Linked DNA regions of Drosophila melanogaster. The protein of the gene in region 1 binds, or shares a complex with, the protein of each later gene. Each region holds a gene or a part of one and is shown on either strand. Other genes may lie near its edges.

The links.
Region 2: MED1 (region 1) and MED16 share a complex: the UniProt entries of both Drosophila melanogaster proteins name them as parts of the mediator complex.
Region 3: MED1 (region 1) and MED24 share a complex: the UniProt entries of both Drosophila melanogaster proteins name them as parts of the mediator complex.

Annotation. Positions count from the first base shown.
Region 1 is NT_037436.4:21,626,083-21,637,139, forward strand, and holds MED1 (mediator complex subunit 1), read right to left. Parts: upstream 8,365-11,057; 5' UTR 8,214-8,364; coding exon 8,180-8,213; intron 8,115-8,179; coding exon 6,834-8,114; intron 6,758-6,833; coding exon 4,851-6,757; coding exon of another isoform or gene 4,830-4,850; exon of another isoform or gene 4,039-4,829; intron 3,832-4,038; coding exon 2,626-3,831; 3' UTR 2,243-2,625; downstream 1-2,242. Other genes in the region: Alg11 (ALG11, alpha-1,2-mannosyltransferase), read left to right, coding at 277-296, 350-542, 860-1,318, 1,380-2,053, 2,111-2,192; ORMDL (orosomucoid 1-like), read left to right, coding at 9,303-9,479, 9,536-9,687, 9,905-10,040; CG32444 (uncharacterized protein), read left to right, coding at 10,904-11,057. UniProt on the Drosophila melanogaster protein: Component of the Mediator complex, a coactivator involved in the regulated transcription of nearly all RNA polymerase II-dependent genes.
Region 2 is NT_033778.4:22,178,147-22,186,392, forward strand, and holds MED16 (mediator complex subunit 16), read left to right. Parts: upstream 1-4,991; 5' UTR 4,992-5,064; coding exon 5,065-7,521; 3' UTR 7,522-7,746; downstream 7,747-8,246. Other genes in the region: CG11170 (uncharacterized protein), read right to left, coding at 1-341; CG11275 (uncharacterized protein), read left to right, coding at 3,130-4,383; Vps35 (vacuolar protein sorting 35), read left to right, coding at 8,115-8,174. UniProt on the Drosophila melanogaster protein: Component of the Mediator complex, a coactivator involved in the regulated transcription of nearly all RNA polymerase II-dependent genes.
Region 3 is NT_037436.4:8,189,450-8,200,547, reverse strand, and holds MED24 (mediator complex subunit 24), read right to left. Parts: upstream 9,279-11,098; 5' UTR 9,160-9,278; coding exon 9,070-9,159; intron 9,027-9,069; exon of another isoform or gene 8,977-9,026; coding exon of another isoform or gene 8,222-8,976; intron 8,135-8,221; coding exon of another isoform or gene 7,540-8,134; exon of another isoform or gene 7,432-7,539; intron 7,359-7,431; coding exon 7,272-7,358; intron 7,214-7,271; coding exon 7,056-7,213; intron 6,987-7,055; coding exon 6,144-6,986; intron 6,077-6,143; coding exon 5,716-6,076; intron 5,659-5,715; coding exon 4,841-5,658; intron 4,702-4,840; exon of another isoform or gene 4,698-4,701; coding exon 4,073-4,697; 3' UTR 3,975-4,072; downstream 1-3,974. Other genes in the region: Dhps (deoxyhypusine synthase), read right to left, coding at 1,092-2,006, 2,065-2,256; NEDD8-conjugating enzyme UbcE2M, read left to right, coding at 2,927-3,026, 3,105-3,406, 3,665-3,808; CG7387 (uncharacterized protein), read left to right, coding at 7,540-8,134, 8,222-8,976; Atg18a (Autophagy-related 18a), read right to left, coding at 10,280-10,497, 10,579-10,706. UniProt on the Drosophila melanogaster protein: Component of the Mediator complex, a coactivator involved in the regulated transcription of nearly all RNA polymerase II-dependent genes.

The DNA.
Region 1 (11,057 bases):
AATAAATCATTGATAACATTTGCAATGAATATTGTGAATGGCGCATTTATGGTTCATTGTTGTTTAAATTAATATCTTTATATCATGTACTGAAAAAAACTAAAAATTTTAATTCGATATTCTTATCGATAAATATTACTTTTAAAATACTTTCCCAAAGCGCAGATATCGGCTTTTATTGATGAAGTTGATACCGAACGGCCATCCCTAATTCGAGATAATGCAGTATTGTCAATTTACGTGTAATAATAATGCATCGTTGAAGAACAGCCGATAATGTTTCTGTTTCTGTTTCTGTAAGAATAGTTACCCTTTTCCCGCCAGATATACTGACTCTTGTTGTCCGCAGTCTCTGGTTGTTGTTATCGCTTGTGTTGGTGGCAGTACTCTCTTTCCTTTTCCTGAGGCAATGGTTGCTTGGCCGGAAGAATAAGTTGCACACATCGTCGGAAAATGGCATCAACGTGGGCATTTTTCACCCGTATTGCAACGCGGGTGGCGGCGGAGAACGCGTCTTGTGGTGCGCCGTGAGAGCACTACAGGTAATATTGGAAAAACTGCAAAACCTACATTCACATGCATTCATACGTGTCTTGTTGATCGATCACCAGCTGAAAGAATAGTTATCATTAGAATGAGTTAATTACCTTCGGCTAAAAACTAGAAGAAATGACATATAATAATGCATGGGAGTAGTTCCTCAACAGGGTGCTAACTTTTCATTCTGTTTGCCTTTGGGTATCCATGTATGTAAATTACATGTGAATACTATAGCTAGAGAGCCAATTATTTTGATCTACTTGTTTTGTATTTTCTGGCCACTTTACTAATCCTTTATATTTGATATTGTAATTAAAAGGAAAAGTACCAGAACGCCAGGATGGTAATCTACACAGGCGACATAGACGCTTCTCCCAATTCCATACTGCAAAAGGCCAAGAATGTCTTCAACATTGCCGTCGATAGTGACAATGTGAAGTTCGTCTTCCTGAAGCAACGCCACTGGATCGAGGCCAAGAACTATCCTCATTTCACTCTGCTGGGCCAGAGCATTGGATCGATGGTCGTGGGTCTGGAGGCACTCTGCAGGTTTCCGCCCGACATCTACATCGACACCATGGGATACGCCTTTACGTATCCTCTGTTCCGCTACTTGGCCCAGTCCAAGGTGGGCTGCTATGTTCACTATCCGGTTATTAGCACCGATATGCTGAAGAGGGTTCAGCAGCGACAGATGTCGCACAACAACAAGAAGTACGTGGCGAGGAACCCCTTTCTCACCTGGACTAAGCTTGCCTACTACCGCCTCTTCTCAAGAGTGAGTGTTCAAATTCGAATTAGTCAATGCACAGCTGTATACCAATTTACCCTTTTTTCAGATGTACAAGTGGGTTGGCTGTTGTGCTGAGACTATCATGGTGAACTCCTCGTGGACCGAGAATCATATTCTGCAACTGTGGGATGTGCCCTTCAAAACACACCGGGTTTACCCTCCGTGCGAGGTTAGTCACCTAAAGAGCCTTCAGCACACGGAAAAAGGCGACGAATTCATCATACTGTCTGTCGGACAGTTCCGCCCGGAGAAAGACCATCCCCTCCAGCTGCAAGCCATATACGAGCTCCGAACTCTCTTGGCCCAAGACGAGGCCCTTTGGAACCAAATTAAGTTGGTTATTGTGGGCTCCTGCCGAAATGAAGATGACTACGAGCGGTTGAAAAACATGCAGGACCTGACAAAGCATCTGTCGCTAGAAAACAATGTGCAATTTAGTGTGAATGTCCCTTACGAAGACCTTCTTAAGTTGTATCAAACTGCCCACATTGGCATTCACACTATGTGGAACGAACATTTTGGCATCGGCATCGTCGAGTCCATGGCTGCTGGCCTTATAATGGTGGCCCACAAGTCAGGGGGTCCTTTGCTTGACATTGTCGAAACTTCCGCGGGAAGTCAGAACGGATTCCTGGCTACTGACGCCGTTGAATACGCAGAAAACATATTAAATATTATTGTTAACAACTCAGAAATGAACGGCATTCGAAACGCAGCCAGGTAACTAGATAAACATTTACAGTTTGCACACTTTAATATATTTTGGTTCGCTTTTAGGGCCTCCGTGGAACGGTTTTCTGAGCAAGAGTTTGAAAAAAACTTTCTTCGAGCTGTTTCAACGCTATTTACCAACAATTAAAAAATAATAGTACGCCCGCACCTAAATAAATATGCAAAGCCCAAAAATCTCCAACTGAATACATTTATTATACTCTACAACATATTTAGAGCGATTTTATCGTACATATCGCATCGCTTTCCTTAAGATTTACCTAATGCATTTTTAAAGCATAAGGTGATTTCGGTTTGATCGACTTAACAGAATCGGGAATAATCTCTGAGATTTTGTACCAAATTCGCCATCGTGTTGTAAAATTTTATTTATTTCCTTTGGAGTTTTAAATCATTTTTCTGCCAATAAAGTTAAGAAATTGCCTAATAAGATCCTTAGTTTCTATGCATCATAAAACAAAATCGTGTAACTAATGGCTTTAAACTAACTCACTATGCTAGCTTTAAGAGAAAATCGCATAGAGCAACAGGAATATCTCATGACGGCTGTCTTTCTTCTGTCATTCGCCAGCCAGGCTAGCCAAAAGCTCCTCATCTATCCCATCCGCCGATGGTGTACCCGCCGTGCTGCTAAGATTGAGCAGTCCTTCATTGCCAGACTGCGAAGGAGGCACCGGCGGCTTCGCTTCCGGCTCCGTCAGTCCAGTAGAGCTGGCAATAGGTCCTAATATCGAAGATGATGTTCCCGCTAAAGCCGGTTCTGAACTGCCACTTGGCGTGCTGCGTCCACTGGTTGTATTGCCTCCGCTTCCTCTCTGCGATAACTTTGGGATCTGGAATTTGTTGTGGAGCCCCTTGATGAAGCCTTCCATGCTTGCGGCCATTGTCGGAGAAGCGTATTGGAGGATGGTCATCATATCCGTGTGGTGATCGAATCGCGGCGGTGGCTGCGACATTGAGCCGCTAAGGGCCGGCGATACCGACCCCGAAGATCCGCTGCCTCCTCCCGAAGCGGAGCCTAACTTTCGCTGCCCGCTGCCTCCTCCACTGCTGCCGCTAGCCAAGGCTCCCATGCTGGGACGCCGCCTGGGGGCATTGTGCTCTTGGAAGGAGTTAGTGCTGTTGCTCTTAGTCAGCGGAATTCCGCCACCTGATCCCGACCCACTGAGCTTGCTGCTGAGATTGCCCGAGGAGTTTGCCTTCTGGAAGAAATGCTTGCTGGATGATGCCGTGGCGGACGAGACCGCTGCGGTGGCCTTCTTGGAAGCGGGTCCGCTGTTAACGCCCGGCTTGAGTCCGGTATGCTGCTTCTTCGTGGATCCAGTGGACCCAGCGAAGCTCGTGGCGCCGCTGCTGCTGCTCTTTGCCTTCGCTTGGAGGCCAGAGGAGGAACTAGAGCCGGAGCCGGTGCCGGAGCTCTTGCTGCTTCCCGTCTTGTTGATGGTCAGCTTGAGGCCCTCTTGGCTGCTGGGCTTCACCATGTATTCCGTGGAGGCTCCGGCCGGATTGATGCTCCCGGCGGAGTCGCTGCTGCCCCCGCTGGTGGTTAAGCAGCTACTAGTTGGCGCTGCTCCCGGCTGTGGCTGCTGCTGCAGAATTGTTGCTGTTGCCAGCGTTGCTGCTGCCGCTGCTCCCGCTGTTTCCTGCCCCTGACCCACTACCGCTGAGACTGGAGACACCAATGACGCTGCCGAGCCCGCTGCCACTGTTGTTGTTGGTGCCGGAATTGTTGGCGCTAAAGCTGCCGTCGACGTCATCAAACTAACCTGACAAAGTAAGCATGTGGTTGTGTGTGTGTTAGGGACCAAAGAAACCAAAAATAAACCAGAAAAGAAATTATAACAATCAAAAAGGGGAACATCACGTGTAGCAAAAGAAAAAATTGTGGGATTTCACAACCATTGGTAGTGTAGGAAGGGAATACAAACAGGAAGAAAGAAGAATGGACCCCGTTAATAATTAGCTTTATAGTTAAGTCGGATACGAAATATATTTTTGAGGAGAAAATGTATGAGGCAAACGCTTGTGGAGCTACTTTCAAAGTGTACATCATAAGCACATTAAACACTAATTTTAAACGTAGTAAATATTTAAGTGAGAAGGAACTCTTGTAACTAAATCTAGAAAAGGGGAAACAATCAAATTATAATACTCGTAGAGTCAAGATGCCAAGCACTACTAATTTACACATTATTTACTGATGTTCTTAACAAAGCTTAAAAGTCATATGCATACACATTCTTATAAATCCAGCAATACTGTAGACACTATAAACTTGGTGAACCAGTACGCCATGGTTTTCTACATGCCACATGCTGGCCAAACAACTATACAAATCAAACAGATTAACTAATAATAAAAACATACGTTCTCAATGCAGAAAAAGAGGTTTAAGCTGGTGTTTTGGGGATAAGCCCCATTACCATACGAGTTTTGGGTTTGGTCGAAAATAAAACGGATGCAGCAGTATATATGACAAATAATTGAATCATATGTATTTACAAAAATTAGAAAAGGCAAAACGAAACACTAACAAAAATAATAATCATAGTACTAAATATAATCATTTTCAACTACAGCAGAGGTAGGCAAATTACAAATCGTTTTATAGCTAAAGTAAATACAGCATTTGCATTAGTTTAAAGATAGGTTCGCTCTGAGTTTGATTCTGCATTGGTTAGGAGAGGTGGCAGAGAGTCAACTACGTGTTAGGCTTCCAGTGGGAGATGCTGGGGGTGGGTTGGTGTGGTGTGGAGTGGAGCACTTATAATGAAAACGGACTTACCGCACCTCCCGCCATGCCCTTGCGCAGGGCACTCAGCTCCAGTCCGGAGGCCCCCGCTCCAGCGCCAGCTCCTGCTCCCACCACCACTGCGGCTGCACCAGATGCTCCCGCTCCCGACGGGGCCGCATAGCTACCCAGTCCCCCGCCCGCCGCCAGATGCGAAAGACTGGCGACTGACTTCATCTGCTGTTGTGAGGATTTCAGGGCAGCTACTGCAGCAGCCACACTTGCCGGTGAAATACCTCCGCCAGATGCGACACCTGCAGTTGCCGAGGATGATGTGGAACTGGAACCGGATGCCGAAGAGGTTTTCTCCTTCTTTAAACTCTGGCTGCTGCTGATAGATCCGCTCGAGCTCGCTAATGGAGGAATTGGAGGTGGTGGAGGCGGAGCTCCAACGCTGGCAAATGACCTCACCAGGCCAGTAGCTCCGCTGGATCCTGAGGAGGCGGATGGTCCCGAAGATGTGTTACCCACAGCTGACGAGGACTTATCGCCCTTGGGACTTAAGATGGTGGCAGCTGTAGCTGCACTTTTAAGCGTTGACATGCTCGGCTTTCCGGAAGAGCCGTGTTTGGGTGAGTGTGTGCCAAACGGCGACTTCGGGCTGTTGGAGGCGGTGTTGTGCTTGGGACTGCTATACACGGGAGAGTGCTTGGGGCTGGGACGGGCAGTCGGCACTCCGGCCATTAGACCCTGTCCACCGCCACCAGCTTTGGGTGACGACGAGGGAGAGGAAAACTTGCGAACCACTCCACCAGTTGCGGAAGCATCTGCGCCACCTGCAGGCGAGTTTTGCCTAGAATAGATCTTCTCCGGCGGTCCCATGGGCGAATCGTCGCGCTTTTTCTTGCGCTTCTTTTCCTTCTGCGTATCTGAAGAGCCGCTGCTGGCTGAAGACGACATGGAGCTGCCAGAACCACTACAACCGGACGTAGACGAACTACTTGTGCTACTTTCGTGGGGACGCTTTGCGGCCACACCTACTCCAGCTGAAGCAGCGGTACTTTTTTTGGTTGAGTCCTTACTGGGATCCTTGCCAGTTATTGGGGTAATAGTTATAGTCGTGGGAGTGGCACTGGATGAGGCTGTAACACCTCCTCCGGCTATAGCCGCCTGGGCATTCAATGGAATAATTTCGATACCACCCGTTCGCTGTACCTCGACCCCGGACACTCCCCCAGCTGATCCAGACTTTCCATCTCCTGGGATGGGGGTGATGCTGACGCAATGCTTCAAATTTGGAGTCTTGTCCTTCCAGATATTTTTGTACTTGTCAGCAATGTCATGGTCACTCGTCTTGGCGGAGCCGGATGAGCTGGAGCTGCCGCTGACCGTGGTGCCACTGGCCGAACTACCAGACTGTGGATCGGTTTCCCGCTTAAGATTGATCAAACCCGCTATGGCCGCTGCTGCCGAAGTAGAAGCGGCAAAAGCATCCGCTAGAGATCGCGACTTCGCATCCATTTTAAGGTTGTTAATGTTGGCGAAGCCACCTCCGGGTAGGCTTCCATCGGAAGGCGTCGGCGTATCCATTGAAAACTGGCTAAAGTTATTGCCTACTCCTGAGACAGGTCCACCACCACTCATGCCTCCACCTCCGATTGCTCCAGAACCAGATCCAGGTCCAATCGCGCCATGCAGTTTGAATTCGTGCTCCTCATCCCAGCACTTAAGCAACTTGTAGATTACCATCGGAATGGATACCACTTTGCGCGCGGTGCGGGTTAACTTCTGGGACAGCAGCTCGTATTCGTTGGTCAGACAGTAAACGCTGCACGTGGGCTGACCATCCTCAAGCAGAAAATCCACAGTGGCCAGCGACTCTTCGTACGGGTGCTGCAGCTCAACCGTGATTTGATTAAATGAAACGGCGGTTACCTCCAGTATCACAGTGCTGTCCATATCTGGGACGAATGAGCATAAAAAAAATATTATTATCATAAAACAGGAATGTGGGGGGAAGTGGAGCACCCAACTCACCATTATACTGCTTCTGCTGCTCACGAACACAGCTTGCGAGCAGGGTGTAGAAGAGAGCTTGTTTCTTGAGGAACGCCACGATTCGCGGAACCTGGGCGGGTTCAGTGAAGGGCAGTGATGACACCAGAGTTCCCTGCAGTTTGCGGTTGTCGGTAAAGAAATAGCAGTGCGTCTCTTTAGGTAAATTCACATACAGGCCGCGCTGTGTGTTCTTAATGGCCTGCTTCGATGCAGTTTGTACTATGAGATTAAGCACTGTGGTGGGCGGACCAGGAGGAGTGGCAACTGAGTCTAGACCGGGCAGACCGAGAGCCTTTAGTGATTCCAGGCAAACAGGCATGGGTTTGTTCAGCCGAAGCACAAACGTGGCCGGCATCAGCAGCGAGTTGTTCTGGTTAAGTTGGGCATAGGTGGGAACCTCCAACCCCGTTTGGGCATCGCGGACCAAAGTCACCGTTGGCAAAGTCTGCAGTTTGTTGGCTGATGAGCCTTCGAGATTGATAGTGGCACTCAGTCCGTAGCTGCTTCGCATTACCTGGTCGATGGTGAAATCGCCGCTGGCCAGTTTGGGATCCCCTTCGGGAAGGTGGAGCGGCGGGCAGAAATAAGTAAGCCTCATAGGATGGCCACCGCGACGGGGCAGCACAAGACCCACCGATGAACTTGTCATAAGTGAGTAGCTGTCTCCGGAGTGACCTTGCAGGTGCAGTTGGTATAGGCTCTGGATATCCGTCTCCATGGCCTGAAGCGCTACAAACGCCTTCTTTTTCACCTTGGGCTCGGCATTCAGCTGGTAAATGGAGGACAGACCCTCGAGTTGAACCGTAAAGTCTGCAAAGTCGCCAGACTTGAGGCAGGCCACTAGCTCGCTGGACTGTTGCTCGATCTTGCACTCGTGGTGCACCTTGACGTCCGACAGACTGCCGGCGGCGTCCAGCAGGATCTCTACGTAGAACATGTCCGTTGATATGAAGAGAAGCTGCTGGTCCTCCATGAACTTGAGGCCCAACTGGCGCGAGAGGCTCTCCAAACGCTCCACAAGGCCGTGGCGTGACGTGACCTTGATGTAGTGCTGCAACTTGTCCAGCGCCGACTGCAGCGTGGCCTTGCACAGGGGGTCCAGAGGGTAGTGCTTCTCGATAAAGTACATACGCACCGACTTCTTGATCTCCTCGTAGCTCTTTGGCTTGTTCCGGTACTTGGCCCGCAGCTTCTCCATCATGGTTTCCTGCTGGATCTGCTTGTTCTTTTCCTCGATGCTGGGAATGTGGCTGCCGAAGCCTGTGCAGATTTGTGTCAGTGGTGCTCCGGACATCTTAGTTATGGGGGTATATATTAGTACTTACCAGTCCCCGAGGACTTTGCATTGGATCCGCTCATATCTATGCGTTCCTAAGTAAACTGTATTTACTTAATGATGCTGTGGCATTTTTGACAAAGAATTGCGGCAAATGAAAAAGTTCTCGATCTAAATAGCTCAGAACCTTTTTTCTATGCCTTCATCATGGCAAAAAAATTTCAACGCCAAAACAACAAAATGGCTGATCCTTCACAGTGGCTGGTCACGCTATAATAAAATACTGGAATATAAAACGGAACTATGATATTTCCACTGCGTCATTTGATATTCGATGTATTCTGATTCAAAGCTTGTATCAATTGCCTGTTCAATTATGTATGTTATATTTTTTAGTATGAGGGGTAAATATAATGAAGCAATTAACATCTATATTCTATACATCCTTCTGGTACTTTTACATTCTATTTTTTATGATGTAATTGTGCCTCATTTCCTACTCGAATTTTCTCTTAAGCTACAAGGGTATTGTAATGAACAGAAAAGCTCAAACATTCTTTCGTTAAAAAATAAATTACAGGCCTCATAATTTAATACCGATGATTTAATATTTATTTAAAATTTCCAATGATTTCTAAATGTCTTATTGGCATAAAGTTTAATTTGGGGTTTCTGTTCCAAGAAACCGAAAATGATTATTTAAAGTTTCTTGAGATTTGAAAGAAACTATAATCCTATAAAAATAAATATCAGCTAAAAAAAACTTTAAGGACTAATCAAATAAGTAAACAAATACAGCTTACGACTTAAACAAATTTTATTTCGCTAAATTCATGATAAGTCTTAAGCGTTCCTCTCTTCCTCGTACTTACCTAAACTACGACAGATATACGGATTATATTGAATATAGGTTTGGTCCGACAAATCAAAAGTAGTCATAACCTTTACTAAAGGTAGATGTTATATTTCATAGAAAATTGCAAAAGCTTAAATTCAAATTTTATTAAACATTTAAAGTATTTCAAATTTCTGTTTTCTCTAAATTATTTTGGTATATTTATTATCATCAAAGTGCAGAGCGATATTTGTATGCATGCGCGGTCACATTGAGCGTAAATGATAAATATTTGTTATTAAAGTGTTTCGGAACCAAAGGTTAACAATTCAGCCACATGACGTCCATTGCGGGAGGCCACGGCGAGGCGAATCCAAACAGCTCCTGGCTGAGTGCCCGGGGATTTTGGCTAGCATACCTCCTGGGCCTGCTGTCGGTGCACCTGCTCTTCTTATCAGTGCCCTTCGTTAGCATTCCATGGGCCTGGACGGCTACCAACCTGCTTCACAATGCAGTGAGTGCTCATGGCGCCGTTGAGGAGTCAGTCCTTATCCTAATCCCTCTTGCCAGGCCCACCTGTACTTTCTGCACGTCATCAAGGGCGCTCCCTGGCTGAGCACGGAGAACGATCCCAGCCGGCGTTGGACGCACTGGGAACAGATCGATGACGGGGTACAGATGACCACAACGCGCAAGTTCCTCACAGCTGTTCCCATTGTTCTGTAAGTGAATACGTACTGAAAGTCGGCCAATATAGGTGGGTTTTTATTTAAAAAAATTAAAACTAAATGAAGACTTAAATTCTAAACTTGTTTTAATGTTGATCAAAGTATTTCAATAAATACTTTTTATGTACTGCAGTTTAATTGAACTAGTAATGTAATTGCTACCATATAATGCCTAACATAGAAACTCATGAAATAATTGATTTTTTTATAGTTTCCTACTTACCTGTCTGTACACCCGAAACAACACGGAACACTTTATCCCAAACTTTATATCCCTGGTGGTCGTCACGCTTCCCAAGCTGCCGCAGTTCCACGGCGTGCGGCTGTTCAACATTAACAAGTACTAGCTCCTGTGAGAACGGGCCGCATTTATTTTGTTTAATGAAAATGTACATACAAACTTATATTGATGGCACAGCTCTTGCTCAAAAATGTAAATATTGCTAAATAAAATATTTATCAAATTAAATAATTCTAAAAATCGCGTTTCGATTTTTATTGCATAAATAATTATTGATCATGGAAACTACAAATCATCTAAAAGATGTATTTGGGGGCCAGCACATGAGATATTTTATAACCCATTATGTCAGACGATTAAGTAGAACCATGATGTAGTTCTTTAGCCCAAAGGATTAAACTTGATCAATCGCTGTACACAGAAGTCTTCGTAGTGACGAAAAGCACAGTGAGTGGGGTGCGTAAGTATAGTACATATATAAGCCGAAAGATTGAAAACATGAAAGAAAAACCCGTTAACTGATTTTTTCTGTTAAATATTCTTAAATATAATCATACAACATACAAAAGTACTGCTATCAACTTAAGTGGCGAAAAATGATTATAGACATACTATACAGATACAATGCAAACACTCGCCGCAAACAAGCAAACAACAACAAACAAAAAGCTTTTTCTGTTTTATGAGCTCTCGAGAAAGTCGCGCCCCTGAAAAACTATTCTAAATTCCAGTCAAGTGGCGATTACAGGACAGCTTATCTCTCATTATTGTGGGCGGTAAAATGCGGGGGATGGGCAATCGACTTCTGACAAGCTGATTGCCCGGTTTGACTTTGAGGGAGAAGCTCGCGACCCGAACGACTTTGGCAATTCATAATAACAGAGGTGTGCCGGATCGGAGTATGCCTGATACCCAGGCAGTTGCTGTCAGCCGTTTCAAGGGGAAGGAACGACACCGAGACGCGCCGAGATGTCGATTACCCTAGAGGAGGAAATCTTCGGCTTGGCCGTGAATCCGTTCACCAAGTCGCCCGAAATGGTGCGCCGGTACACGCTTAAGAACTCCAAGGGCATGACCGTGTCAGTGATCCAACTGGGGGCCATCATCCAGAGCGTCTGCTTGC
Region 2 (8,246 bases), on another chromosome or scaffold:
TCTTTTTTCACATTTTTTATCTGATTACTCTGTGCATCAATGATTTTTCTTTTGGCCACCAGCTGGACTTCCTGATCCCGGTCTTTTAGCCTTAGAAAGTAAATCGCTCGGCGATCAACGAGCAACGAAATGGCTTTCACAAGTCTACTCCAATCCGAGGGCTCTGCAATTTTCTGGAAGATTTCCCCGCACGGCTCACTCTGTCCAACGAAACAGTCTGGACACAAGCGCAGATCCTTCTCGAAAAGTTCCTGGAACACCTCTCGCTGCGGCTTCACCTGCAGCTCCTGCAGCAGGGCCAAAATGAGCACCACTTTCAGTTGGCCGTGTGACAGGTGCATCACAGGGAGCTGCAAAGAGACGGAAGAGAAACGAATGAAGGGGCTTGCCAAACAACAGAAGAAGCCACACGTGTGTGTATCCAAAGAAATGTGCGTGAGGGCCCAGCCTCCAGTCCACTGGCCACATTACCTGTTTGGCAGCTACACGCCAAAAGTGAACCTAAGCACCGAGCCAAAGAGGCAGCTGGTTATGACCGCTTAACGAAGCGTCTATACCCTTTCGCTACATTTAGTTTAATTTGCTATTAAGCTGTATGTATTTTAAGTATGGAATTTCCCTTTTTACTAGTTCCTAAAAGCAATACCAAATGCTTCCATTTATTCTATTATATTTTTTAAGCACGTCTAAGTTATAGATCTTTAATTTAGTCATGATGACAGCTGATTAGATTATGATACCACTATCGCTTTTATCACACCAGCTTCTGGGCTCATGCCGAAATGGTTATCCCACAAGGTCCGAAGAGTATGGCGTCGGGGGGACGGACTTACAGAAATAACTTTGGTTCTGAAGAAGAGCCAATTCAATGGGTTCAAGGTTGGCCATCACGCTGGGAGCAAGAAGCGAATCAGACGCTTAATTTGTAATCTCTGCAGAGGTGGGAGAGTAGCCATTATGGCGATACCAGTCGCATCCTCCAAGACGCACTCCATCTCGCCTTGCCCTGTACTTCAAAATTAAGTGTGCCCAGAATGGACTTGCTCTGTGGCTCATTCTTTGGCGACGACGAGGAGCATAATGACTCGGCTAAAGATTCAGCACCATTGCCCACGACTTCGCCAGTGCCTCAGACTATCAAAAGAAAATCGCGTGTAAGATTTAGCCGCAGCACCATACGAAAACTCCAACTCAACGAACTGGAACAGTTGGGCTCCACAAACGCCTTTTTCAACTTCCTGCTCGCCCAGCGAATTCGGGAATTGGGCTTGGTCGGTCTCAACTACCTGGATGTGTTCAAGTCCCAGCGACTAATTTCGGGGAAACGCATCTGGAACTGCATGTATGAGTTGGCTGAAAGTGTTCGTCAGAACGATATTTAAACCTTTCGGGATAAGAGGAAACTCGATGAAATCGTCTACCAAATGTATTCGTGCGAAAAAAGACCGAAGATCGCTGAGAACGCACTGAGAGATTGGGAGACGCAGCAGAGGAGGAGAGACCTGAAATCGAAATCGCTTGGAGAACGTTTCCCCAAACCGAGTAAGATCAGTTGAAGGTGGCGCGTTGCGCTCGACGGTTGTCGCTATTCTGGTTCTCGCTCAAGTTATCCGAACTCTTGGAACAGCTGGGTAGTCTGGTCTGGCCTGGCGCATAAAGACGCGATATCGGTCAAGTTCAGACGAAGAAGACGACGACGCGGCGATCACTCAATTAGCCTCACCGTGAGGGCGCGTGAAATTCACTTTTAAATTTCCCCCAACTCGATTTTCACATACACAAATTGCTTTTGTTACGATTCTCGCGTGTGCTTGGTTGAAAAGGAATTTGTCACAGTGCCAAAAGGTGTGTGTGTTCTTCTTGGAAATGTCCACTTAGCTCGTAAACTATTCCAATGTTCTAAAAAGCCATAAATTAGCCCTAAGGTCGCACGTGAAACCTTCACCACCTGGGCTAGCCTAACTTTACGCAACTGAGAACAGAGCAGATCGCGATTTGAGGCGAGTCAACAAAGTGCGCAGCAGAAGTCCAGAATATTGATTGACTTTGCAATCAAATTTGCTCAGTTCGAAATTTTCAGAGTCAGGGAATTAGCACTCAGCTTATTTTCGGGCCACATATTGTTTGAAAGCAGCCCATATCCAAGTTCTACATGTGTGTATATATTATTGAGAGTTATTTTGCTTGTCAGTTAGCAGTAATTGGAGGAGGGCACATAAACCACCGTGCTAGCTACCCATAAATTACACATTAGATAACGCCGACATGTGCTCATCGCTGATTTCGAGGGCCCCCATATAAGTCGCGTTAGCCTGAGCCCCACTTGTCCAACTGAGATCTGTACAAACACTTTAAACCGGTTATATACATATAGTACCCGCTGGGAAAACAAATAGCAAACCCAAGCCGGCAATATATGAATAACCAAGCAACTAACCAACCAACCAGCTGGCTGGTAAACAGTCGCGTCGTAGTATTATTTTGGCTTATTGATAAACAAAAGCCTGTCAAGTGTGCGATCGCATATATATATATATATATACAAATGTGTTTATATATTTGCATTCTTGGCCATGACCAAGGAAATCTGATGCATGTCGCGTAAGTGATAATATACAAATCGAATTACGTCACGTTGACTGCAGGCACTCAAACCTCCTTGACTACATATTATTTTTCAAGGGGATTGCGTTATCGGACATTTAAACTTTTCGCTTTGTGGCACACGCCCTTTTAATTAATAGCCATAAAATAGCAAGCGAAATTGGAAGCGTGAAATTTGATTTTTTCTTAAGTGTTACGACTCTTTCAGTTATTTTTAGCTCGAACTAAAAAGAGTTACTAACTGAATAAACATTAAGAATTACCAAGAACGTATTAAACACAGCAAAGACCTGTTTTGGCCAAACATCTATTTTTTCATTTCAACCGAAATCACTAGTTTGCGCACTAACAAAACTTTAGCTATTTCTTTTGATTTTACATCTCGTATCGCTTTCTATTCGCCCGCGCCTGAATAGTTTCTATTATACTTCGAATGATTGATGGCCGCCTATGACACGGGCAAATTGGAAACAGGTTTTCGAATGGCTCATTAATATCTACCACCTTTCTCTGCCCCTTTCGCAGATGAGCATCTCGGCGGTGGATCGCAAAGAGCCGGGCAGTGTGAGCAGCGGTCTGGGTAGGCGATACGGGCAGCTGCTCCGTGGAGCCAAGTACACAGATTGCGTGTTCCACGTGTGCGAGGAGCAAGTGAAATGCCACAAGCTCATCCTGAGCTCCGCCAGTCCCGTTTTCGAGGCAATGTTCTTTGGTCCCATGCAAAACAACGAGCCCGAGCCGGAAATCGAAATCCACGACATAAGCTCTGCCATCTTCAAGGTGCTGGTGGAGTACATCTACACGGGCGTCGTTGACTACAATGGCCTGGAGCTGGTGGCCTGCATTGAGCTGTACTACGCCGCTGAGAAGTATCTGCTGGAGGAGCTGATCGCCGACACGCTGATGGTTATCACCCGCAAGCTGCGATTTGCCAATATCTTGCCCGCTCTAGAGCTAAGTGTTTGCATGGGCCTCGACGGGTTGCTGGAGGTCTGCATGACCTTTTTCATGCGATGCTGTGTTAATAATGGACAGTATATGAGCCACCTTAAGGAGCACTATGTGCACGTGTCCAAGGAGTGTGTGAAGGCCATAATAGCGGCGTGCAAGGAACCGCACAAGTTACTCATCTGGTATGTTTATGAGTGGACACGACAGGAGTGCGAGCAGTTGGGTCTGGGTCCCAGCGATGCCGACTTAGTAGTGCACGACTTGGGTGGCAAAACAAGCGACTGGCCTGCGGCTTCGGGTGCTAGTGATTTGGAATCACCTGCCCTAACTCCGGTGGTTTTGGTGGAGCGCTGCTATTACAAGGCCTGCAGGCCCTTTACAGTGGATGCAGAAACTCCGCTGTTTCGCTTGCGTCTAAAGTGCTCTAGATTTATCTCCTTGATGGGCTTGGTCCTGAACAGCAGGCTGACTCCCAACCTATTGGGTCACGTCCAGCAGCTGGAGTACCGCGAATCGCTGCGGCTGGACCTTTGCGAGGTGCCCGCTGAAAGCGAGGGTCCGGCCACGTCGCCCGTATGGAGTCACGTTGTCCAGAGCCAGAATACCAAGTACAACTGCAACCTGCATCTTGGCTGGCGACGCGAAGAGGCCTGTGTGCTGAATCCGGAGCTGACCTATGAGCTGCAGATCCGCTGGGACAGCAGTGCTTACGGCGCCGAGTATCCGTGCAGCCTGCAGTCCTGCCAGGCGGACGGAATTCGGTTCACTGACGAGGACAGCTTCAGCGGAAGTCTCGTCAAGGGACTGCGCTATGCCAACCTGGTGTAGCCACTTCAGCCGCGATATCATAATTAGTTAGTCCGTAAGACGTGTATGTATTTATTGCCCTAAGTTAATGTACGCTGCCTCAGAGTTCAATAAACTGTGAGTAATATCGCTTCAAACACAAGACGTCTGCTGATAAATATAAAAAGCCGGTTTGCAGCCGTTTTTGTTTGGCGAACGAATCGAACTCGATCGGGGAACGGCGTCCTGGCTGCGAATACGGAAACTTATCTCACCTGTTGTTGCGGCCACTAAAAAAAAAAAATCGGTAAAACAATAAACTATAATATAATCACCAGATGTAAACAAAGCGAAATTGAACGAGGGACAGTGTGGCCAACTGGTCATAATAATTCTTGCTTAAATTGGGGCGACCGTAAAATAATTAACAGTGAGAAACTGGCTATTATTTAATAACTTAATTTTTGTTTAAATGATTAATGATTTAAAGCTGCTGCGCTGTAAAAGCTTTATTTGCTGTTCAGAATTAAAATATTAATGAGCACTATCTTAAATCTAAACATAAAAACCAAACATTTTACAGTAACAATGGAATCAAAAATGCAGTGGAAAAGCGCTAAACACCCGCGAAACAGTGCTGTAAAGTTCTTCACAGAGTAGTGTTGGCAGACGCCGGGTGCAAAACAATAATAGTCCGCTTTGGTTTTTGTTTACGCTGCAAAAATGACGATTTTGTACAAAGTGGAGGGCAAGGAGTTCAGCAAGGACAGCGTTTTTCCGCACAAGAAGGTCCTCTGCTCAGTCTCCGCACGGAACATCGTTGCGTTTAGCGCCCTCCAGAGCGCCATATTTCCGGCTTCCCACGGAGGAGATGCCGGCGATGGATCCTTGCCGGGAGCGGGTTTGGCCGTAGGCGCGAGCAACAGCCATGTGTACGTGTGCGACATCGTGACGCCGTGGGAATACTATAAGGTGTGCTCCTCCAAATCGCTTATCAGCGTCCTCCAGTGGAGTCCCAATGGGGAGCAACTGCTGCTTGGATACGTCGGCGGTCGCGTCGAGATCTGGCAGCCGAGGAACCAGTCAATTAACCTATGGGTGCTGCAGTATTACGCCACCGTGCCCAGCGAGGACATTATAGAAGCACAGTTCTTTCAGAATGGCAAAGGAGTGATCTTCAATGCGCTGAAGAAGGATCACACCTACTATGCGGAGAAGTTCGAGCGGGTGGAGCAGCAGAGGCCCACTCTCAGCGGATTTGGCGGAGTGGCCAGCGAGGGATGCGTGCTACTCACTTCCTCAGGCCTGCTGGCCGCCTTCAGTCTCCCCGCAATCCAAAAGACATCCGCCGCAGGAGCTGATGGTCCTGCCCACGAGGTCGTCGAGTTGACACCCGCGCTCCACAGCATCGGCATATCGCGCAGCTTCATCGAACACTGCAGCATGACGCCAAGTCCATCGGGAGCCCTTAATATCGCTTTCAGCTGTGGCTGGCAGCAACAGTTGGTGCAATGCTTTAAGGTCTCGCTTTCATTGGAGGGCGAACTGGGTCTGGAGCAGCACTTGGCCATCAAATCCGAGTCCCAGACCAGCATATTTCTGGGTCCTCTTGACGGGAGGCGGATCAGTCACCTAAAATGGACGCGAATAGCCAACGAGGATGTGATTTTTATAGCCTACGCTTGTCCAGATGGTGCTGGCAGCCAACTGGAGCAATGGACATTGACACGCCGTCACCAAAGTGTCCACGCCCTTCTCCAGGGTGGAGGAGGTGCCAACAACAAGCCAAATGAGTTCGTGCAATCGGAAAGCTGGGAGCAGGTGGGCAAAGTGCAACTAAATGCATCCTTGGCGGATATCAGCGTTACACGACTATCGGTATCAACGCCGGACTCTTGCCAAGTGTACGCCATTCTGCAGGACAACAGCGTCCAGGTGCTGGAGCCCAACTCGATGAAGCAGCTTAATCACACCCAGTTTGATAGGTTATCTGACGCCAGTGGAGCAGTAAAGTTCGTTAGCGGCGACTTGACACCTAGCAGCCAAATTCTCCTAATCTTTGATAGCCATGCACAACTTTACGCCATGCAGGCACCTCTGCCGAAGCAAGGAGGATCTGGTTTGCTACTTCTGGAATATTGCATCGTTACAGGTTGCGATGCCAGCGATGTGCTACTCCTTAATCTAGGCAACCTGGAGGCTCTGGTGGAGAAGCTAACCGACAACTTTACGCGGCAACCTTCCTTTGTGCGGCACTTTTATTATGCTAATTTTTTGGCCCTCAAGTCCAACATATGCCGCATGCAGCAGCAGGAGTTTGACAATCTCATTATCCTACACGCAATATCCACCACATTCAAGAGCCTCCTGCGACCGTCTGATCTGGGTTTCCAGGATAAAGGACCTGCCGATAACTTGGCCATCAAGCTGGCCGAATCCATTCCGGATGTGGACACCGTGATGCTGAACCTGGACGCCAAGGACTTTACAGTGGAGCCGGTGATGCTGCAAAGTCTACAGCAACTGATTCAGTGGGTCACCGACCTGGCACTCAACATGCTGCATCGTCTGCCCGAGGAGGTAATGAAGACCAAGCTCTCCGGAAAGCGGCCTAGCTACGATATCAGCCGAGACATCGTGGCCATCAGCAGTCTGCGCGAGCTGCTGGTTATGATCCGCATTTGGGGCCTGTTAAACACCCAGTGCCTGCCCGTCTACACCAAGACGATGGACAACATCGATGTGCTAGTGATCTTGTTTCGTTTGCTTACTCGCCTGGCCCAGAATCCTGCAGAACCGGACGAAATGCTGCTGGACGAGTGCAGCCTGCTTTCCAAGCAGCTCCTAATTCCCCAGCCCACCAAGTTCAACCCCACCACGCTGCTGAGTGCCCAAGGATTCGCGGCCGTAAAGTCGGGACAGCTGCAGTTCACCTCCATGGAGGAGCCAACTTGCTTGCAGGACATGGAGACGGAGGAGGTGGTCTTCGCCAGCTCTGTGAAGGATGGCGTGAGCAATCTCCAACTGGGCGCCCGACCCAGCCACATTCGGAGATGCGCCCGCTGCGGATTCGTGTTCGTGAATAACGCCAGCAAAGTGGCCAAGACGTCGGCCCTCAAGGCGTGGTTTAGTAAGTGGCTGCACTGCCACTGTGGGGGCTTTTGGAAGCAGGTTCACTAGTAAATCTATGTGAGCAATGACCTTAGTTATTAAGTATGATTTAAGCTTCAAATAAAAGTACATGATTGCCAGCAATTTTAGTGAAATCAAGAAATTTAATATACTAAATATATTTCTTCTTTGCACGACGTGCTCGTTCAAAAAACTTAAGCCACAGAGAAGTCACCACCATACTTCACTATTTCAAAACTAAATTTATTTGAATAAAATATATTTTTTAACTCTATCTATGAATTGTGGTTGGTGTATTTGCTAACGGTTTGATATTAACAACAACAACATATCGAAGAACTTGCATCACTAGCATGTCAATCGATATCAGGACGTCCAATGTGTCTGTCGGCTGTCGGCAATCGATATCTCCTCTGCAAATAGATATTTTCAGAATAATTGGCTTATTTCACTTCGCCCTAACGCTGCAGTAATGGTAAGTGCATCGAGGTGCAACCTGTAGTCGCCAGAAGTCGAAATTCCTAGAGAACCGAGTGCCCCAGGTCCAGGCTTAACCGAGTGCTGAGTGCCCACCCTGTCGACGTCAAAAGAGGGCTGCCTGTGGTGAGAAGCAACGCCCCCCCGGTCCAAATCCCACGTCCATGTATCCCTGGAGCTCCTCCTCGTACGGCGGCCAGATTCCCAGTGCCGCCAACGTCCGGGTAAATACTCCGCCAATCCCAGATTACGAATCTTGGATATGTGTAATCGTTAATCCACTTATCTTCAATTTG
Region 3 (11,098 bases), about 13 Mb from region 1:
TAACGACGGCTGACTGCCGATAATGGCATTTTGCTTGTGCAATAAGTGCAATTGATTTTCTTGGCAGCTAACATAAGTTTTTCAGAAATAAATTATTTTTGATGCCACATTATTATTCAGTATTAAGAGGATTTTTAATTTTCTTAATTCCCAAAGGAAAACTTTTAAAAGCGAAACATCTCAAGCGGCCTTAAAAAAGCGTATAAATTTCGAAAATTTGATAAAGCCAACATTTCTTGCCATGCATACGCCAAAGAACATACATAATAGTTTTTCCTCGCCGCATTCCCAAAAAACCATTCATTTTCGAAGAAAGCCAGGCAAAAGTCACAGAAAAAGTTGCTAGCAGTCGGGAAAAAGTTGTCAAAGAAAATGCAGTGCCTCTGCAATCCCCAAAACTTTCAGCCAGTCCATCTTTCGCAACTGCATCCTGACAATAGCTCAAAATATGTAGTGCCAACTGTCGTAGAAGCCGGAACGGAGGGGACAAAATGTAAGTGCGCGAAAAAGTTTCCGCATGGCTTTAATGATGCGTGCAGACAAGCCAAAGTTTGGTTGGCCAAAAGGGAGAAAAATTTTGAAGAAATGACGGAAGCCGAGCGCTTACATTAGTGGCATAAAATTAATGACAAATTTCGTGGGCTTATGCGGATGCACTGTTCCGTGGCGGACGATTTCCTGCCAGCGAGAGCGAACTTCGCAAACAATTATGGGCAGAACTGAGGGAATATTCGTATAAAACTAAGGCCACGAGGAATATAGCATCTGTGACCGCCGGTAAAAGCTGCATTTTTGCGGCACTAAAGCGATTCCAGCAGCAGAACCACTATTACGGCGGAATGTGCATGGCCCACTGGAGGTGCCGGAGTGCAATGCTGTTGCTGCTGTTGCCGGTGGTGTTTATCACTTGCAGCCAACAACTCCGACGACGCTTAATGGCTTCCTGCCCGGACAGTTTGCATCTGGGCGGGGCATAACACTTCGGGGACTTCCATTCTCGCAATACGACCCATCTGCGGCCCAACCATTCCTTAATAAGTTACATCTGTACATTTGCGTTGATTGCGTTGTCCTTATTTTCTCGTATATATTTACACTTGGTTAGTCTCTCGGGGCAGCTCTTTGCCGGCGCAGTGATGCCGCTTGGCGAATGTTTCACCCACAATCAACGGAAAGACCAAGCTAGCCTCGGCATACACCTTAACAGGGGTGGCATCCTTCCTGATCTTGCCCCACGATATAGCCTCATCCGGTCGAGCGCCGCTATCGCTGCCGTCAAACTCCGAGGCAGTATTAATGAACACTGAGTAATCCGCTCCATTGCGCATCAGATTGGCATTACAAATGTGATGCTTGATAACGCCGCCGCCCACGATGATCATCCCGCTGTTGACCGCCTTGACAGCCATGGTGTTGAGCCTCCGCAGATCGGACAGAATGTCCACCACGAGTCCAGGTTGTCGAAAGGAGTGAAAGTACATCATGTCGCCCAGACTGCCATCCGTCAAGGCGGGACAAAAGACTGGTATTTGATTCTTGGCAGCCCAATAGTAAATGGAACTAGGATCGCCAATCCGTTCGCCCAACCGATGAATAATCTTCGACGGCGACCAGATAGTTCCCTGGGATTTTTGCTCCTCCAGCATCTCGTCCAGCAGCGGCATCACCCAGTCCTCGAACTTACAGTAATTATCGTTCGGCACCAGAAGGTTGCCAATTCTGTTGATTCCACGCTCGCGGAGATCCCTGCCACTCAGCTCAAATGAACCCATGAACGTGGGAGCCAAGCACTTGATGAAGTCCTCCTCGACGCCGCCAGCTGTGGTCACAATGCAGTCGATCATACGGTGCTCGGCCAGAAAGCGAATGGTCTCTCGCAGTCCGGACGAAACCAAGTTGGATGTGTAGCCCAAAAATACGGTGCACTTGCTTCTTCGACGGATGAAGTCGTCTGTTTCATGGCTGTCTATTTGGTCCGCTTCCAATGGCTGGTCCCTGCAATCCAGCTGCCAGTGTTAGGGGTTTGTAACATATCGTAGTTATGTATTTAAGTTACTAACTTACCATTCTGTTAATTTCCCGAATGGCCAGGCCAAGATTCGTGGCCTGAAACCCGGTGTTCACATAGGATTCGAAGAGCTTACTGTAGTCTAAGCCTTCGTTGAAATCGTAGCCACTAACTTGGGGCGTGTTTTCCGCCAGAGCCTCGCTGCGCTTCAGCACAGCATCCTTGGCCACCGATGGCTCCGTCGACATAATCAGAAATTGTTGAAATTCAAAATAAACAGCTCAAGGGGAGCCCAATCGTAATGCATTAATCAACATGTGCTGGTTAAGGCAGCCCTGGTTTCCGATAGAGATGTGGTTTGCAAAGTAGCTAACAAATATTTCTTTAAATTTATCTGCAAAGTTTTACGTAGTTATGGAACGAAGTAAGAAAAACCAGCTATCAAAGACTTGCGTTTAATTTAAATAAATATATTTAATATATATATTTAAAAAAAAAAATTATGACGATGATTTTCAAATATATTACGACACCGGTTGCATGTCGAAAATTTAGGTTTTAAAATTTTCTTCGTTTCGAAGTATCCAAACTTGGCTTGAATCCCGCTGAATCCGAAGTCCGCTTACCAGCACTACGCAACAACTATCGAGCAGACTGTTATCGGGTGCAACCATCGATTAATTACACATATCGCTGGGCAGAAACAAGGAAAGGATAGAAAGCACTCGAAGTGATTTTTTACATCAGTTCTATTGTTAACGGTAGGCCAAAGATTCAGTGAAACAATTGCCCTTAAACCACTGACATTTCAAACAATGCAACCTGTCCCTCAAGCAGCAAAAGCCCCCCAGAGAGCCAGAAACTTTCGAGCACAGCCAAACGCGGAAGACGAAACGCCAGCGAGACGAGGACGCCAAGATGATTAAACTATTCACGCTTAAGCAGCAGAAGAAAGACGGCGAGCAAAAGGGCAGTCAGCAGAAGAAAGCGTCCGCCGCCCAGCTGCGCATACAGAAAGGTAGTCTCCAATCCAGCACCTGGTATGATCAACTCTCGCTTATTACTTATCCATCTTGGGCTGTTTTCCTCCCCCCAGATATTAACGAACTGAACCTGCCAAACACTTGCGCCACAGACTTTCCCGATCCCAATGACTTGCTCAACTTCAAGCTTATCATCTCGCCCGACGAGGGCTTCTACAGAGACGGGCGCTTCGTGTTCAATTTCCGCGTCGGATCCAACTATCCGCACGAGCCGCCCAAGGTGAAGTGCGCCACCCAGGTGTACCATCCCAATATTGACCTGGATGGCAACGTCTGCCTCAACATTCTGCGCGAGGACTGGAATCCAGTGCTGAACATCAACTCCATCGTCTATGGCTTGCAGTTTCTATTCTTGGTTTGTATTTCGTGATTTGTGTTATTTTAGAGGCTATACGCTTTGTTCCATAAGTCTTGATCAACAGCCACAGTTTTCAAGTTACAATTGATTTTTTATGTCTTGTTTTGTGAACAATTGATTTCTAAGTGTGCTTAATTGAACGCCCACTGAAACAATTCAATATAAATGTTTGTTTATACCACTTAACGATCATTATTTCTATTTTTGTTATTACCCAAGCCAACAGTATTACTAATCCAAATTAACTGCTTCCAGGAACCCAATCCCGAGGATCCGCTCAACAAGGAGGCGGCCGACGTCCTGCAGACCAACCGCCGTCAGTTCGAGAACAATGTAAAGAAGGCGATGCGTGGTGGCTGTGTGGGCGAGACCTACTTCGAGTGCTGTCTGCTCAAGTGATATAGGGAATCGCAAGGTCTCTTACTTTAAGCCTGTCCATACACCTCCCCCTACACCCGCTAACTGAAGAAGATGAAGCAAAACACAGACGAACATCGGCGACAACAAATTATTGTAATAAACGAAAACAAAATCCACTGCGTGCAAAGAAGAAGCCGAGTCAAGTCACCAATTTCTAGTTTTTAATACAATTCATTTAGCAATTTCGCCCACCCGTCTCTTAATCATAATCGGCATACCCAATGTGGCAATCATCCAAATCCCTCACAGATGAATGCTGTGCCTGGCCATCTGCATATTTCGCCACAGGCAAAGATCAGACACAGCGGACAGTCTTCCTGCCTGGATTCGCAGATCGTATAGTCTGCTGATGAGACCCACTTTTATGTCGTCGGTGACCAAAACTTTCAGGAGCTGTTGCACCAGGCCGTTGGGCAGCAAGCGCAGGACGGGAGCGACCCTCTCACCACCGCATTCCACCAGCAGCGAAATGAACTGATAAACAAAAACGGCCTTGGGCGACAGTTCATCTCCACTGACAAACTGCAGGAACACTGCGAAAATGTGCTGCACGCTCGTCTGCAGTGGTTCTCTTAGAGTAAGCGGCGTAGTCCGCAGTTCAGATGTGGAAGTGGAGCCCAATAATGCTGCCAGGCCAGCTCCGGTCGTAGTGTCCGTAAAGTCGCTTGAGTTGTCGCTGCCATCGCCAATCACCTTGCGCACTTTGGCTGCATTGGCCGCCAGTTCCTCGTCATCGTGAGATCTCGATCGCTTCTTCATGGCCGTCAAAGCGGAAGTGCCATTTCCTTTGCGGCTCTCCAGGCAGGAAATAATACAGTAAACACAGAGGCGGGCCAGTACCAGGGATTGGGGCTCATTAATGTCCTCACTAGAAAAAAAAAAGATTGCCAAATTGTGAGTACGAGTTCTATCATAGCAGTTTCAATTTTTACATCCTTTCTTGCTAAATCGATTCGATTTGTAGATAATAAATAAATGAAATAATATACAGAAGAAAATATTGGTATTTACCCTTGTCGTCGCAGTATCAGTGGAGCCACCACGTACTGGAGCAACGCCTCAGTGGTCTTCTCAATGTCGAGATGCATTACGGCAAACACAACGTCCATGGTTCGCGACATATCCCTTGTGTACTTGCAGGCCAGCAGTTGCTCCACCAACTGCGTGGACAGCCACGCCGCGCCACCGGCTAGCAGAAGCGACTCCAACGACTGAGCGGCGCGAACGGGCAGGTGACCAGCATCGACTACTGTTCGCCACACCTCCCGAAACTGCTCGACTAGCGGGGAATGTGAAATGAGGCGGGACTTGGTACTTGGGGCAGGATGCACATCGTGTTGCATTTTTCTGATAATCTGATAGGAGAGAGCTAGTCGCTCCTTGGCATTTTCCTGGCTGGAAAGCTCTTCGCTGGTCAACGGAGCCAGGAACTGCTGAATCATGTTTAGTGGTTTCAGAAGTTCCGTTTCCTTCACCGAATACATGTAGGCGCATAGAAAACTAGTGGCGCAAACGGAAAAACTGAAAAGTCTTCTCTTAATATTGTCCAGAATACTTTTAACGTCCGCCGAGGATAGCGTTTCCTGCTCCCAAGCTATTAGCACATGATGAAGCACTCCGGGCAGATTAAGGCAAGTCTCCTGCCAACTTAAGTTGTTTGGCTTAAGTTGTGATGCCTCTGGTTTACTGAAGCTAAGCAAAAGCTCGTCGACAATACTGTCATCACAGAGGGCAAGAATTTGACGCGGATTCTTAAGCTTATTCCTTTCCACCATGCACTCACGCACCCATTTTTCAAAAAATGAGTCACCACGCTCAGATAAGACCACCTGAAGTAAAATAGAATTCATTAAAATTGCAGCGTAATAACAGGCGGGTTTACGAACATCGGATCCATAGGTCTGCACAATGCTTGTCAACATTAGGAAGGAAACATCAAACAGAGTGGACCGGATGACGCATAGCTTGCCCAGGTCGCCCGGCACCGGCTTGGAGTTCTCATTGCACTGGATCAGACGCGATACGAATGTCTTGAGGCGTCCCTCGACGGTAGCCACTGAAAGAATCAACTCGAAGCTGTTGCCCACCGGCACTTGGCAAAGGACATTAACCATGTCCTGGACCTTGTTGGTGCACAGCGTTTTTAGTACTCCGGAAAGCGGAACCTCTGCGCGCTTGATGAAGTTTATATTGGAGGGTGTCTGTTGGCCATTGTCGCATTTTTTGAGTAATTGAGAGGCGGCTTCCCTGAAAGAGTTCGTTTTAAATTATATAATTAAGATGGGTGTACAAAATGCATGATTTCTCGACTAACCTTTGACTGGCGAACTTCTTTACGTGGACATCATTGACTAGTTGTTGCTTGGTCCAGTCATTCAAAAGGAACTCGATCATATTGCATGAGCACTTAGTATCCATGAAGTCTAGCAGCAGATTGTCCTCGATGAGCAATTCCAAAGCCTCCACCAACTCGGGTATGTAATCGGCCGGTGGTGGTTGCTCCCCGGGAATCCGTTGCAGGGCGTGCAATTGCTTAATGATGTGCGGCATTTTAAAGAACATAAAGGCACCCCACATAGTGTCAGGACTTGTATCCGCAACATTGCTCAGCGTGAGGAATCCAGCACGGATGATTTCGTAGAAGAGCCGTGTATTGGAGTATTTCTTTAATCGTTGCAGCATCTGCAACTCAGCCACGTAGTAGCTGGTGTCCTTGCACGGATTGAGAAGCACTTCCACCGCCAGTAAGGGTTGCACGCAGCACGAGATCTTCTCGAGTGTTGACGGCGGATTAAGTGGTTGCATTTCAAGATGCTTGGCTTCTATAAAGGCCAACTGCTGCAATTGCTGCTCCACTTGTGGTGCATTTAGCGTAAAGTTTGAGTTCGTCAACGATCCCTTGATGGTAGCGTACTTATCCCGAATCCGTCCACATATTTCGAGCTCTTCGTGACAGCCCACGTACAGCATAGACAGCAGGAACTGCTGCTGGCTAAGCCGATCTATCACCACGCAGGTCTGGTCCAGCATGTATGATTGCTCAGCACTAATCTCACCATACAGTTCATAGTGCTGCACAGTTCTGGCGAAGATTTGAAGCAGCCAGTACACCAAGTGGACGACGGAACTCGGTAAAACCGCTTCCTCAGATTTTATTCTGGAAATAGAAATGAACAATTATTTTTACTCCTGCTTTTTAACGACTTATAAAACTAAAAGGACTTACCGGCAGGTAACGCCATCCACGATGCTGGCCAGGAATTCAAGGAGCGCTGTAATGCAATAAACGCGCTCTAATTTGTCATATTTGGCAATGCACCGAATAACAGCAGCGTGAGAAACGAGATGGGCGCACAGTGAATGCTTCAGGTAGTTAAGAACCAACTGAAAAGCATAGATTACAATTTAGAAAACAATCTAAATACTCAGATCAACTACTCACCGGATTAGCCGTGGAACCAATGAGTGCCTGCTGCATCAGACAGTCAGCCAGATTGTATACATCTCCACTGACTCCTCTCGGCAGCACCTGAAATAGTAATCAAGGGAAAGACAATAATGAAACATTTTCTTTTCCTGTCAAACTTTAACACAATATCTGGGTCACAACCCCATAAAATAAACAGAAACAGAACCACTTAAAAATCTAGTTAGGATTTCCACTTATATAGTTAGCACACATAGTTGCATATTTCGTTACGCGATAAAAAATGTTTCGTTTAAAATTATTTCGCAGTCCTGGAGACGTATTAAGCACTTTAATTAGCGGAGCTGCAACGGATTGCTGCAGGAAGACGTCACATTGTTTGGAGTTGGATCGCGCTCCCGCTGTCGCTGCCTGCTGGATCTGTATGCGGATGATCAGTCAATATCAGTTCAGGACCACGAAACCAGCCTACTATCCAGATCGCCAGCGGGAGGCGAAGCGAACGTCAGCGGGAGCCACGCCTCAACAGGTGTCATCTCCGGCTGTTAAGTACCCGCAAAGCCGAGGCATGCCCAAGGACTACTACTACAAAGTGTTAGGCGTCAACAGGCACGCCACCATCCAGCAAATCAGATCGGCTTTCTATGCGCTGGCCAAGCGCTATCATCCCGACTCGACGCACTCGGAACAAAAGCTGAAGCACTTCCAGGAGCTGTCCAACGCCTACAACATCCTAACCGACGAGACGAAGCGCTTGGAGTACGATCAGCTGGGCGGGATTAAGGATGAGCGCGCTTTTCTTGAACAGGCGGGCAATCCCCTAAATGTGGGCCTCGAGGAGGCCAAGAAGTTCGATTCGGATAAGACGACAAATGATGGTAAGCAGACGGATTTTAGATACATCAAACACCATTTCACTTTTCACTATATCACGATATGAACACGATCCTTGAATCGCCTTCTAGAGATCAACAAACTGAAGAGCAACGAGTTCGATCTGCCACTTGACTTCCTTGAGGCGACAGTGGGATGCAAGAAGCGGATAGAGCTGCGCTACTTGCGGAAATGCGAGACCTGCAAGGGCAAGTCACAATTGATGGCGCATCGGGATGTGGGCAAGGAACCCTGTCGGCGATGCAATGGAACTGGAAAGGTCATGACCAAAACGCCAACCTTCTCATCGGTGAACACATGCACGCAGTGCAAGGGCAAGCGATTCACAAATCGCAACGACTGCGAAACATGTTCGAATCGCGGCTTCGTGGTGTCCAATGTGGATGTGATGGTATCGGTGCCTTCCGGATCCCGGGACGGTGATGTGGTGAACATTATAAATCCGGAAACGAAGCAGCAGGTCACCTACCGCTTGTCGGTGCCGTCTAGCGACTATTTCCGACGCGTTGGCAATGACATTCTAACCGACAAGCACCTAAACATCTCGGAGGCCATTCTGGGCGGATCCTTTCAGATACGGGGTCTGTACGAAAGCGTGGAGCTGCGTGTGGAGCCGGGCACCCAATCCCACACCCAGGTGGTGCTCAATGGCAAGGGGGTGCGCTCCAGGGAGGGCGTGGGCAACCACATCGTCACGCTGAAGGTGCGTATACCCCGGAATCTCTCCGTAAAGCAACGCCAACTGGTTTTGGCACTGTCCCAGGCAGAGGATCCGGTTTTCGAGCCCAAGACTAAGAGCACGGAGGCGGGCAATTTGAGTCACTAAAATTCTCAATGTACCGGCCTCATTGCGTTTACAATATATTGGTAAACACGAACATTGATTGTTTGGTGTGTTGATTTGCTTGGGTTGCCTTGCCTTTTTTATGTTGATGCCCCACTGGGAGTCCGTCCAGCGCTCGCGCCACGCCACATAGATGAGTTGGAGGATCTTGTTGTTCTCCTTCATCTCTCGCGTCCGTGGAAGTAATATAACTTTTACTTTTCTCGTATTTCACGCAATTTATTTTATTTAAACCTAATATATTTTTTAGCAGCGCTCAGTGTGACCGAGGTATCTTTTATTAATCATACCAAAAGAGTACCATAATTTTCCCATCCTACAGTGTTGAAAAACACACAATCTTAAAATTTGTCGCCAATTTTAAATATTTTGAAAATTTTGTTTTTGCAACGAGGAATTTAGCCAAATAAAGGAAATAATATTAAAATATATTTTAAGACACCGAAAAGGCACCCACAAACAAATTTTAATTCAAATAATTTATTGAATACAATAAAGTAGCGTATGAGTTTCATTTGTAAACTGTTTTCATTTTAAACATTATGTTCTAAAATATTTGACTTTGTACAAAATATATTCTATTTATATATGCCGAAAATTGTTCCTCCATTGCACGCTCCGATTTTTTGAATTTCATTTCACTCATCGTGTCGCTAGCTGAATGTTAAATTTTAAATTGAATATATAATATATATATATAGGTGTGGTGTATGTGCTTAATCCGAGATATTTCGATATGATTAAACAATAGCTAGGCGAGAACTTTACATACAAATCGAGTTCGGTGGATTGTCAAGGGAAGATGCGCGAGGACTGGAAAAATAAAAAAATTAAAAACTAATTTGCAAAGGCCGTTTATTTTGTATAAAAAGCTGGCAACTCAAATATCAAAGCGAATCTGTAAATCCGTCTAAATTATTAATTAACAACTAACTTAGGAGTGTATGACAAAAGCATTTCACATTCCAATGGCAGCGCCAGGAACGGAGGCTTAAAACTAAAAAATGTTTTGGGTAGGGAGAGGCCGTACAAAGGAATATTGGCTGGTACAAAACGAGGAAGAATCATCGCTGACAACGTTAAGAGCTAAATTAAGTCTATGACCTATTTATTTACTTAAATACGCTTGACGCCACAGAGCCACCGTCGTTTATTCATCATCATTATCGCCGCCGCCAGTCGCCAAGCATCATTGTAATCACTTTAGCATCATCGTCCTTATTACTTTGAGGAGTGAGTTTCGTTTACCATCGCTGCATCTCTCATTTTTGATCATTGACCTTGTCTAAGCGGATGAGGGTCCCACGGGATCGTCACCCTTCACGGCCGACGCATAGGAGCTACTTGGTTTGTCGACACCACCGGTAACAGAAACAGCCGACTTGCCATCACCGCCACTTCCACCAGTGCCTGCTCCGGCTGCACTTGCACTGCTCGGCGGAACTCCAGCTGCTCCGCCAATGCTCACGCCACTGTTAAGGCCTAGAGTTTGAGGTGAATCAACTAGAGAATTTGTTTCGATTGTGGGTTTGGTTGGGATGTGTGTAAGTGTGAAGTGTGTGCGAGAAGCGAACAGTTAAGCACCTTTGATATCCATGGCATAGTGGTCCTCCAGCCGCAGGTCGTGCCTCTTTATTAGCTGGCACTCTGCGCCCTCGACGGTGGGAATGGAATACACGTACAAGTACCCATCCTGCGAGGCAATCAAAAGTCTACAAATACAACAGAATGAACCGTTATTTAGAACTTGAAATAGAGGCAGGGTAATCAGTTTGTAGTTCAATTTGCACGTGATTCAATTTTTGTTTTATAAACCTTTATGAAATGTACTAGGCTACTTTTGCAAAGAGCATATTAATTACATTTCAACAGAGTTCAGGGAAATTCAAACATATGAAGCCAGATAAAGTAGGTAGTGTAAATGATTTACGCGGAACAACTGCATTGGTATCTAGAACTCAGATTCCCTACCTGAGGTATTAAGCTCGCATAGAATTGCAGTTTTCGAAATTCTTTATAGCTAGGTAGAATTTTATGGCTTTTTCACTTTCCCGTGCGTTCTTCGTTGCAAATTGAACTGAAACAAAACTGATCCGTGCTAGAC